2 linked regions of the Sus scrofa genome follow. The protein of the gene in region 2 interacts with the protein of the main gene of each other region in a pairwise test. Links are inferred from orthologs where the notes say so. Each region holds a gene or a part of one and is shown on either strand. Other genes may lie near its edges.

Region 1 (3,748 bases), on a different chromosome or scaffold from region 2:
AATACACCTTAGAGTCATTGTACAAGACCCTTTCATGGATTTAAAATTAACTTAGAGGGGACGGGGGAGGGAGTAGGATGGACTGGGAGTGTGGGGTTAGTAGATGCAAACTGTTACATTTAGAATGGATAAGCAATGACATCCTACTATATAGCACAGGAAACTATATCCAACCTCTTGGGACAGAACACAATGGAAGTAATACAAGAAAAAGAATGTGTATATATATATATGGATGATTGGGTCACTTTGCTGTACTGCAGAAATTAGTACAACGTTGTAAAACAACTATATTTTTAAACAATTATATTTTTTAAAAATGACATAAATATCCCCATATGATCAAATGCAGAAAAAAAATTAACTCAGAGATCCCAAATTTCAGGTAAGAATAGCTAAACCTCAAACGATGTTCTTTAAAACTAGGAAACTTACAGGAATGTCTAAAATGATTATATTTTCTCACAGCATACTATCCAAAACATTTTTAAGTTGCAGCCACCAAAAGCAACTTTGTAGAAACAGTATAAAACATTTTACCTGAGGGCTCCAAACAGTGACATCATTGTCATACTGGTTGCGAAACTGAAAGTAAATGAAAAAAAATCTGTTAATACAAGAACATTACAAAACCCAAATCTTAACAAGCTCTATCACTCAAAAATGTTTTCTGGAGTTCCCATCGTGGCTCATTGGTAACAAACCCAACGAGTATCCATCAGGACAAGGGTTTGATTCCTGGCCTTGCTCAATGGATTAAGGATCTGGCATTGACATGAGCTGTGGCATAGGTCAGATTCCAGCTGCTGCTCTGACTGGACCCCTATGGAACTTCCATATGCCTTGGGTGCAGCCCTAAAAAGCAAAAAAAAAGAAAATAATAATAATAATAATTTTCTAGTCTATTTCCATCCAACATTAATGAAAGGTTGTTACTGCAACCTCATTGGAAGATTTCTACTGTACTTAGTTGCAAGCCAATTTTACATTTACAAGGAGCTTGTGAGGGAGGGGAGAGCAGAGCCAGATGGGACCTATCTTCCCAAATTCCAATTCTACCACTGTCCATTGCACTGCCTTTGAGTTCAGTCAATTACTAAAGTTCCTATGTGTCCACTCTCCTTTCTATCTTTGGCTTATTCTCTTCCCTGATACCAAGACCTAATACGATCAAAAGCATTCCTTTTCCTTGGAGTGCCTGTCGTGGCTCAGTTGTTAACGAATCCAACTAGGAACCATGAGGTTGCGGGTTCCATTCCTGGCCTTGCTCAGTGGGATAAGGATCTGGCGCCTCTGTGAGTTGTGGTGTAGGTCGCAGACGAGGCTCGGATCCTGCGTTGCTGTGGCTCTAGCGTAGACCGGGGCTACAGCTCCGATTAGATTAGACCCCTGGCCTGGGAACCTCCACATGCCGCGGATTCCGCCCTAGAAAATGCAAAAAGACAAAAAAAAAAAAAAAAAAAAAAAGCATTCCTTTTCCTTAAATACCTCAAATGTCTACCTCTTGAAGCCTTCTCCATCTTTCCTCCCCAAATCCCAACACATACTCCTACCATTCCTTTATCTACACCTTTTTTTTCGACCTTATATTACGATTAGGGACGTGTCTGATTTATCTTTGAACCTTCACTGTAGTTAAAACAGTGCATTTAAAACATTGTTATAGAATGAGTACACACAAGAATGTCCCCAGAAAGTCAGAAGTGGACACAAATAGCCACAGAGACGGACCCATTACAGCTTTAAAGACAGCTTAAAATGAGTCTGCCAGCACAGTACTTGGGAGCCCAATCATTAGGGTGAGAAGGCTGACTGCTGGAATGGTAGACATAGGACTGGAAGCTCTGAGCCCTATATTGTAACCCTTATTCTATCACTTCTATCAGCTTCAGTTTACTCTTTCATAAAAATACTTAACTGGATAAGTGACTGAAAAAAGGCCTTTTCTGATTGAGCTCTAAAAGAGAATTGAGCTCTCAACTCTGCTATTGGCTATACAGGGAGATTCCAAAAGTCAAATCCCAATTTTTCCTTTCTCTCACACAGAGCACTAGGGGCCCCTCTGGACCGCTCGGAATCTACTCGACTGAAGGAAACTGAGGGGCGAACTCGGCTAGCAGACCGAGGAGGTATTGTTCAAGGCCGGATGGAAAGCGAAACAAACCCAGGGGAAAGGCCGCACCGACTACCGACTTCCCCTGTGCCGGCCAGGCCAGAGATGCTGAATCACTCCAGAACCCCCCATCGGCTGAGGTTCCCATGTCCCATAGCCCCGGCCCGCTCTAAGAGTGACAGAGAGATCACTCGCCAACCCCCAGCCAGCGGGCCTGTGCCCCAACCCTGTTTGAGCTCGGAATCCAACGCACCATGGTTCCGGCGAGAGCCTAGTCACGGCCTCCGGTAAACCTGCAGATCAAGGAGCGCTGCCGAAACTACCGCTCGGCGATCTGCAGAGAAGTCTGCGGGACTATGCGTCGGCGCAGGGTAGAGCAGTCTATTCTAGAGATAGCGATAGGCTTCCGGCGCTTCCCCGCCCTCAAAGCTCTCCGCCCGCTCGGGAGTGGGCGGGGCCTGGGAAATCTGAGAAACTCACATTGGCGGGAAAATTTGGGCCAGGAACGCCCGCGGGAGCTAATAGTCGCTGGGTGGCCACTATCAAGTCGCCTTTCTTGGATCCTCAGAGAAGTTACCTGTGAGCTGTAGATTCCTGTCAGTTTCTCACCGGCCCGGCCGGATGCACCCGAGATTCCTGGTGTACTGCTCAGCCTCTCATTCAGCGTCCACAGAGATTTGTGGTGTTGGGTAGCGAGAAGAACAGGACTGCAAAAAAAGACCACAAATAATGGTCCATTTCTTCGTGTCAACGGTACTCTTCCTGGAGTATCTTGTTTCTGGACATGATTTTCTTTCTACTTTGGAATCCTTTTCCTTACTCCTTATTTTCCAGGCGTTGTTGTCACTGATCACTATCATTATTATCAGACTTTAAACTTTTTGAGGGCATTAATGTCTTTGCCGTCAAAACCAAGCACGATGCCTGAAAGAATAGGCAACTGAGGGACATCTTCTTCCGAAATAGGTATTTTCCTTTTTGCGAACATCTTTTAGTAAATTCTCAGAGAAAATAGTTTAGGATAGCTCTACAAACAGCTGCCAACCTAAAATTTACTGACTGCCAATGATGAGTTCTTTTCTTTACGAAGAAGAAAGGATGAGTACCTAGACTCAGGTAAGAGTTGAAAGGGGTCTTTAAGGATCTAAGCTTTGTCAATGAAGAGACTCAGCTCCCTTAAATGATTTGTTCAAGTTAGAGCAAGTTGGTATCGCACTTTAAAAACCTTGTCACATGTATTTTGGACACTTTTTTATATTAAAATTTTTCTAGGTTAAACAAGATTCCCGATATTCTGCATTGTGAACATATGATATTTTATTTACCGAAACCCCCATTGTTTAATATTTAAGTTTAATATTTAAGCCCTCTCCTGGAGCTCCCTGTCTGGCTCAGGGGGTTAAGGATCCACATTGTCCTCGTGAGGATGCGGGTTAGATCCTTGGCCTTCTCAGTGGGTTAAGGATTTGGCGTTATTGAGAGCTGCGCTATAGTCCCGCAGCTGCAGCTCCGGCTGGACCCCTAGCCTGGGAACTTCCATATGCCACAGGTGCAGCCCTAAAAAAAACCAAAATTATCCCTCTCCCAAGAAATTCATTTATGAGCTGCTTGATATATTTTTTTATGTGTACATCT
Region 2 (3,748 bases):
AAAGTCAGAAAAATAGCTACTAATGAGAGGACAAAAGCAGTTGTGATTGGGATAAGCAAATTCTTGGCATGGCTAGCTAGCATAGTTCTCCACCCTACCCTGGGTGGTATCAGATTTTAATAATTCATTAAGCTATACATTTGGTATATGTGTTCTTTTCTGTTTGATTTCATAATAAAAAGTCATTTTTTAATAAAAACATTTTGTTAAATAACAATAAAAGCAAAAGGAACAGTGCCTGGCACACAGCAAGACAGGTGGTGATCAGAGTTGGTGACCAGCTACTTGTACTATCTTAAATAGTTACTTAACCTCTTCAGTTTCCTTGATTGGGTTTAAAATATCTGATAGGATTATGAAGAGGTCAAAAGGAAATAAATACATAGTATTCCATAATTAGTAGATCCTTTCCACAGCCTCTCAACATCCAGAGGGAGTTATTTATTGCGTCAGACATACCTCAGTCATAGCACGTTCCTCTTACACTTTTCACCTGGTCATTCAAGTTGATCAGAATGAAATGATCACCCAGTGAGCCTCACGTCTGAAACTGCATCTTCATCTAGGTTTCAAAAAGATAAACAGGCCCACATCTTAAACATTCATCTCCTATTAAGAATGATTTGTGTTATCCTCAGAGCAGGTATTCTTGGTGTTAATGACTGACTACAGGGAGCTGCATCTACTGAATCAACTGCTAATGGACTCCAGTGCTCACCACCACGTGCCTTCACCCTTGCCTTCTCTCCCCTTGTCTTTCTTTGTTTTGTTGAAACATATACCTGAGAGCCCAACTCTATTATCATCTAGCATCAAATCTGATTCTGACTTCAAAGGTATTCAAACAATATTCTCATTGGCAAGGGTACTCTCAGACAACTGGTACTGAAACACAAAGACAAGGAGAACAACTATCAATTTCACCTGTGACAAAGCCCTTCTTTTCAGAGGTCTATGCTGTGAAATTAATGTTACAGATAGTTTGCAGCAGCATTTTCCCCACTACGGGCTATGCCAGGACACAGGTCTGTGAGTCACCAGAAGAGACCCAGTGCTTCCCAGGACCAAAGCAGATGGTGTGGCTTGCTTTAAGCAGTGTCATAAGATACCTAAAGTAAAACTGTGGGAAAAGGAGTTGCGGGGTAGGAGTTGGTTCATACACACCACAGAAAACCAAGCACAGAGAAGCCAAACATAGTTCTGTTTGCACTGTCTAGGTTTCCCAAGAGCCCTTTGGTAACTTACCCCTTATAGGTTTGGAGCCCCTGGCTCATGCCCCATACATTAAAATGTAGTTGCTTTTCACTACTTTTTTGGGGACAAGCTGGGAATAAAGCATGGCTGGTAGCTGTTCTTTTTTGAGTCACCTCAAAACCTGTAATTAGCTTTCTCAAAAGCACATATTTCACTTTACTGCAATAAATGGAATGTGCAATGCTTTCAAAGTCTCTATTGTCTGTTAAATGCAAAAGCGCCATCCCAAAAATATACCAATACACTGTTTAACGTTCCTAAGAAGCGAATCTAAGGAAACAGAATTAGGATCGGATCTTACCTCGATTAAATCATCCTGCCCCAGGAGAGGTTACATAAAAGGTTAGAATAGGCCACTAAGCAGAAGCTGCGGGCAAAACCCTAGCCAGCCAGCCACCTTTTTCCCAAGGTGAGGTGGGGAAGGCCCGGGTCTACTTGACAATACCAAAAGTAAAAACAAAACAAAACCTCATGCAGAAGAAGATTGAGGCCAAAAGAGGTAATGCCCGCACAGTCTTTACCATTATTATGTATAGAAAATAAAGTGGTACAGAAACCCTTCTACATTTCAACATTTCCATCTCACTGATTTTCTTAATAAAATCATATTAGATTCCACATAAAGAGACTCTCCAACTCTGCAAAGATTACTTAAACCAGAGAAGGGATTACTCACCTACCCCTTTGTGTATCCCCCACCTTCTGCTACGAGCCTTCACTCGCCAAGTTACCTTCCCAGGCACCTAGATTCTGAAACGTGGGGCGAGACCCCCCGGCCAGCGCATGGGGACGGAGTAACTACCAACAACTATCCAGAATCCAGGCTGCGCCAGGTATCCGTCCAAGCTTCACACTCACTACCTCAATTAACCTTCTCAACCACCTTGTAAGGAAAGATTTACCAGCTGTCGTCTACAACTGAAGAAACTGATGCGCTGAGATGTTAAATGAGGAGCCAAAGATCACAAGGGGCGAGGAGCCAGGACTAGGACCAGGTCGATCAGGTTCCCCCCACCCGCCCCCAAACTCCTTATCCAGGGATTTTTAACTGGCGCCAACCCGTCCCAGGCAGCTCCTCTCTGGGGACCCCAGTAAGGGTCAGTATGACCACTCGCATTGCGCAGACGAGACCATTTCCGGTGGAAGCTCAAGCAGGGGCTCCAGGCAAAGCCTCTGTGAACCCCGAAGGCCGCTTACCTTCCTCAGCTGCCGCCTCTCTACAGCAGCTCGCCCAGCCCGGCCGGCTCAGCCGCCTCCCGCCCCGCCTCTACGACCGTTACTCCACCGTGGGAGGCCAGCCAATCGAGCCCGAGCTCATCGACGAGCCCGATTCTGCTCCGGCTCTGAAAGCCCTAGCGACTTTCTCAGACCGCCCAGGAAGGCTGGGATTGCTCCGTGCCCTCTGGTTGGCTCTGCTGCTGGGGGCGGGGCTTACCATTAAAGTGAGCGATAGTTTGCTGTTGCGGCTTTGCCGTCTGTGCTCCACAGCTGCTGGACCCCTTCTCCTCGCAACTGCTGTTCGCTTACCTGGGTCCTCATTTGCCAGGAAAACTTCAGAAATCCACATTTGAGGCGGTCGGCGCGCGAGCGCGTGCGTACACACACACACACACACACACACACACACACACACACACACACGGAAATAAGTATGTCTTGAGGACATTTTACCTTCCCATTCAGCATTTGCCAAATTTCCGCCAAATGTCAGGCCATAAATCGCGTTCCAGAAATGCAAAAGTGGCTGACTGGGGATATTCAGAGGCTAGTTAGGGAGCTAGATATACACCCTGAAAAGAAGGTGCAATGTGATAAGACATGATCAGGAAAGGTATGCAGGGCACGGAAGGGAAAGAAAGATTATTTACATCCGTCGCTAAAGTCTTCACCCCAGCTGTATATTAGAATCACCTGAGGAGCTTCGAAAATGATGCTCAAGCCCAAAACAAATTAAATCAGAATCTGCAGGGCGGAACCCCAGCTTCAATAGGTGATTTCCAAGGCAGAAAACTACAAACCTAGAAATATGCATAAGAATGATTTGGAATTATTTCCCCAGTAATACAGATAGGAGAAGGTATTTGGAGAAACCTCATGTGCAAATTAATAACTCCAAACCACTTTATTACAATGCCTAGCTCACAAGTGCTCAGTAAATCTCACTTTTTTTTTTTTCTGTAATTAAACCTGAGCTCCTTGGTACAGGTCATATCTGCCCTCCCCAAAAGCCTAGCTCCCAAAACATTGGCAAATATAATGGGCTTCTTAAGGAAGCTAAGGAGTGTGTTGCATATTGGAGAATAAGAGGAAGGTCTTAGCAAATGTGCTGAAGAGCTGGGACTTTATCTTGGAGATGATGGGGAAACATAGATCAATTTTCAAATGGAATATAAAATGGAAAGGGTTTAATTTGGGTATCTTCAAACACAGCTTTCATGCATAATTTGTTTTATATATATGTAAAAACTATATATGTGTTATATAGTAAACCAGT

The links. The genes of interacting proteins can lie anywhere in the genome.
Region 1: the proteins of CEP70 (region 2) and PSMA1 interact in binary tests that used the Homo sapiens proteins (3 or more experiments, as listed by UniProt). The two-hybrid records come from large-scale screens. The link is inferred for Sus scrofa from reciprocal best matches to the Homo sapiens genes CEP70 and PSMA1.

Annotation. Positions count from the first base shown.
Region 1 is NC_010444.4:44,738,857-44,742,604, reverse strand, and holds the start of PSMA1 (proteasome subunit alpha type-1), read right to left. Parts: upstream 2,504-3,748; 5' UTR 2,370-2,503; coding exon 2,367-2,369; intron 586-2,366; coding exon 541-585; intron 1-540. UniProt on the Homo sapiens protein: Component of the 20S core proteasome complex involved in the proteolytic degradation of most intracellular proteins. This complex plays numerous essential roles within the cell by associating with different regulatory particles.
Region 2 is NC_010455.5:79,384,333-79,388,080, forward strand, and holds the start of CEP70 (centrosomal protein of 70 kDa), read right to left. Parts: upstream 2,609-3,748; 5' UTR 2,452-2,608; intron 563-2,451; 5' UTR 469-562; coding exon 460-468; intron 1-459.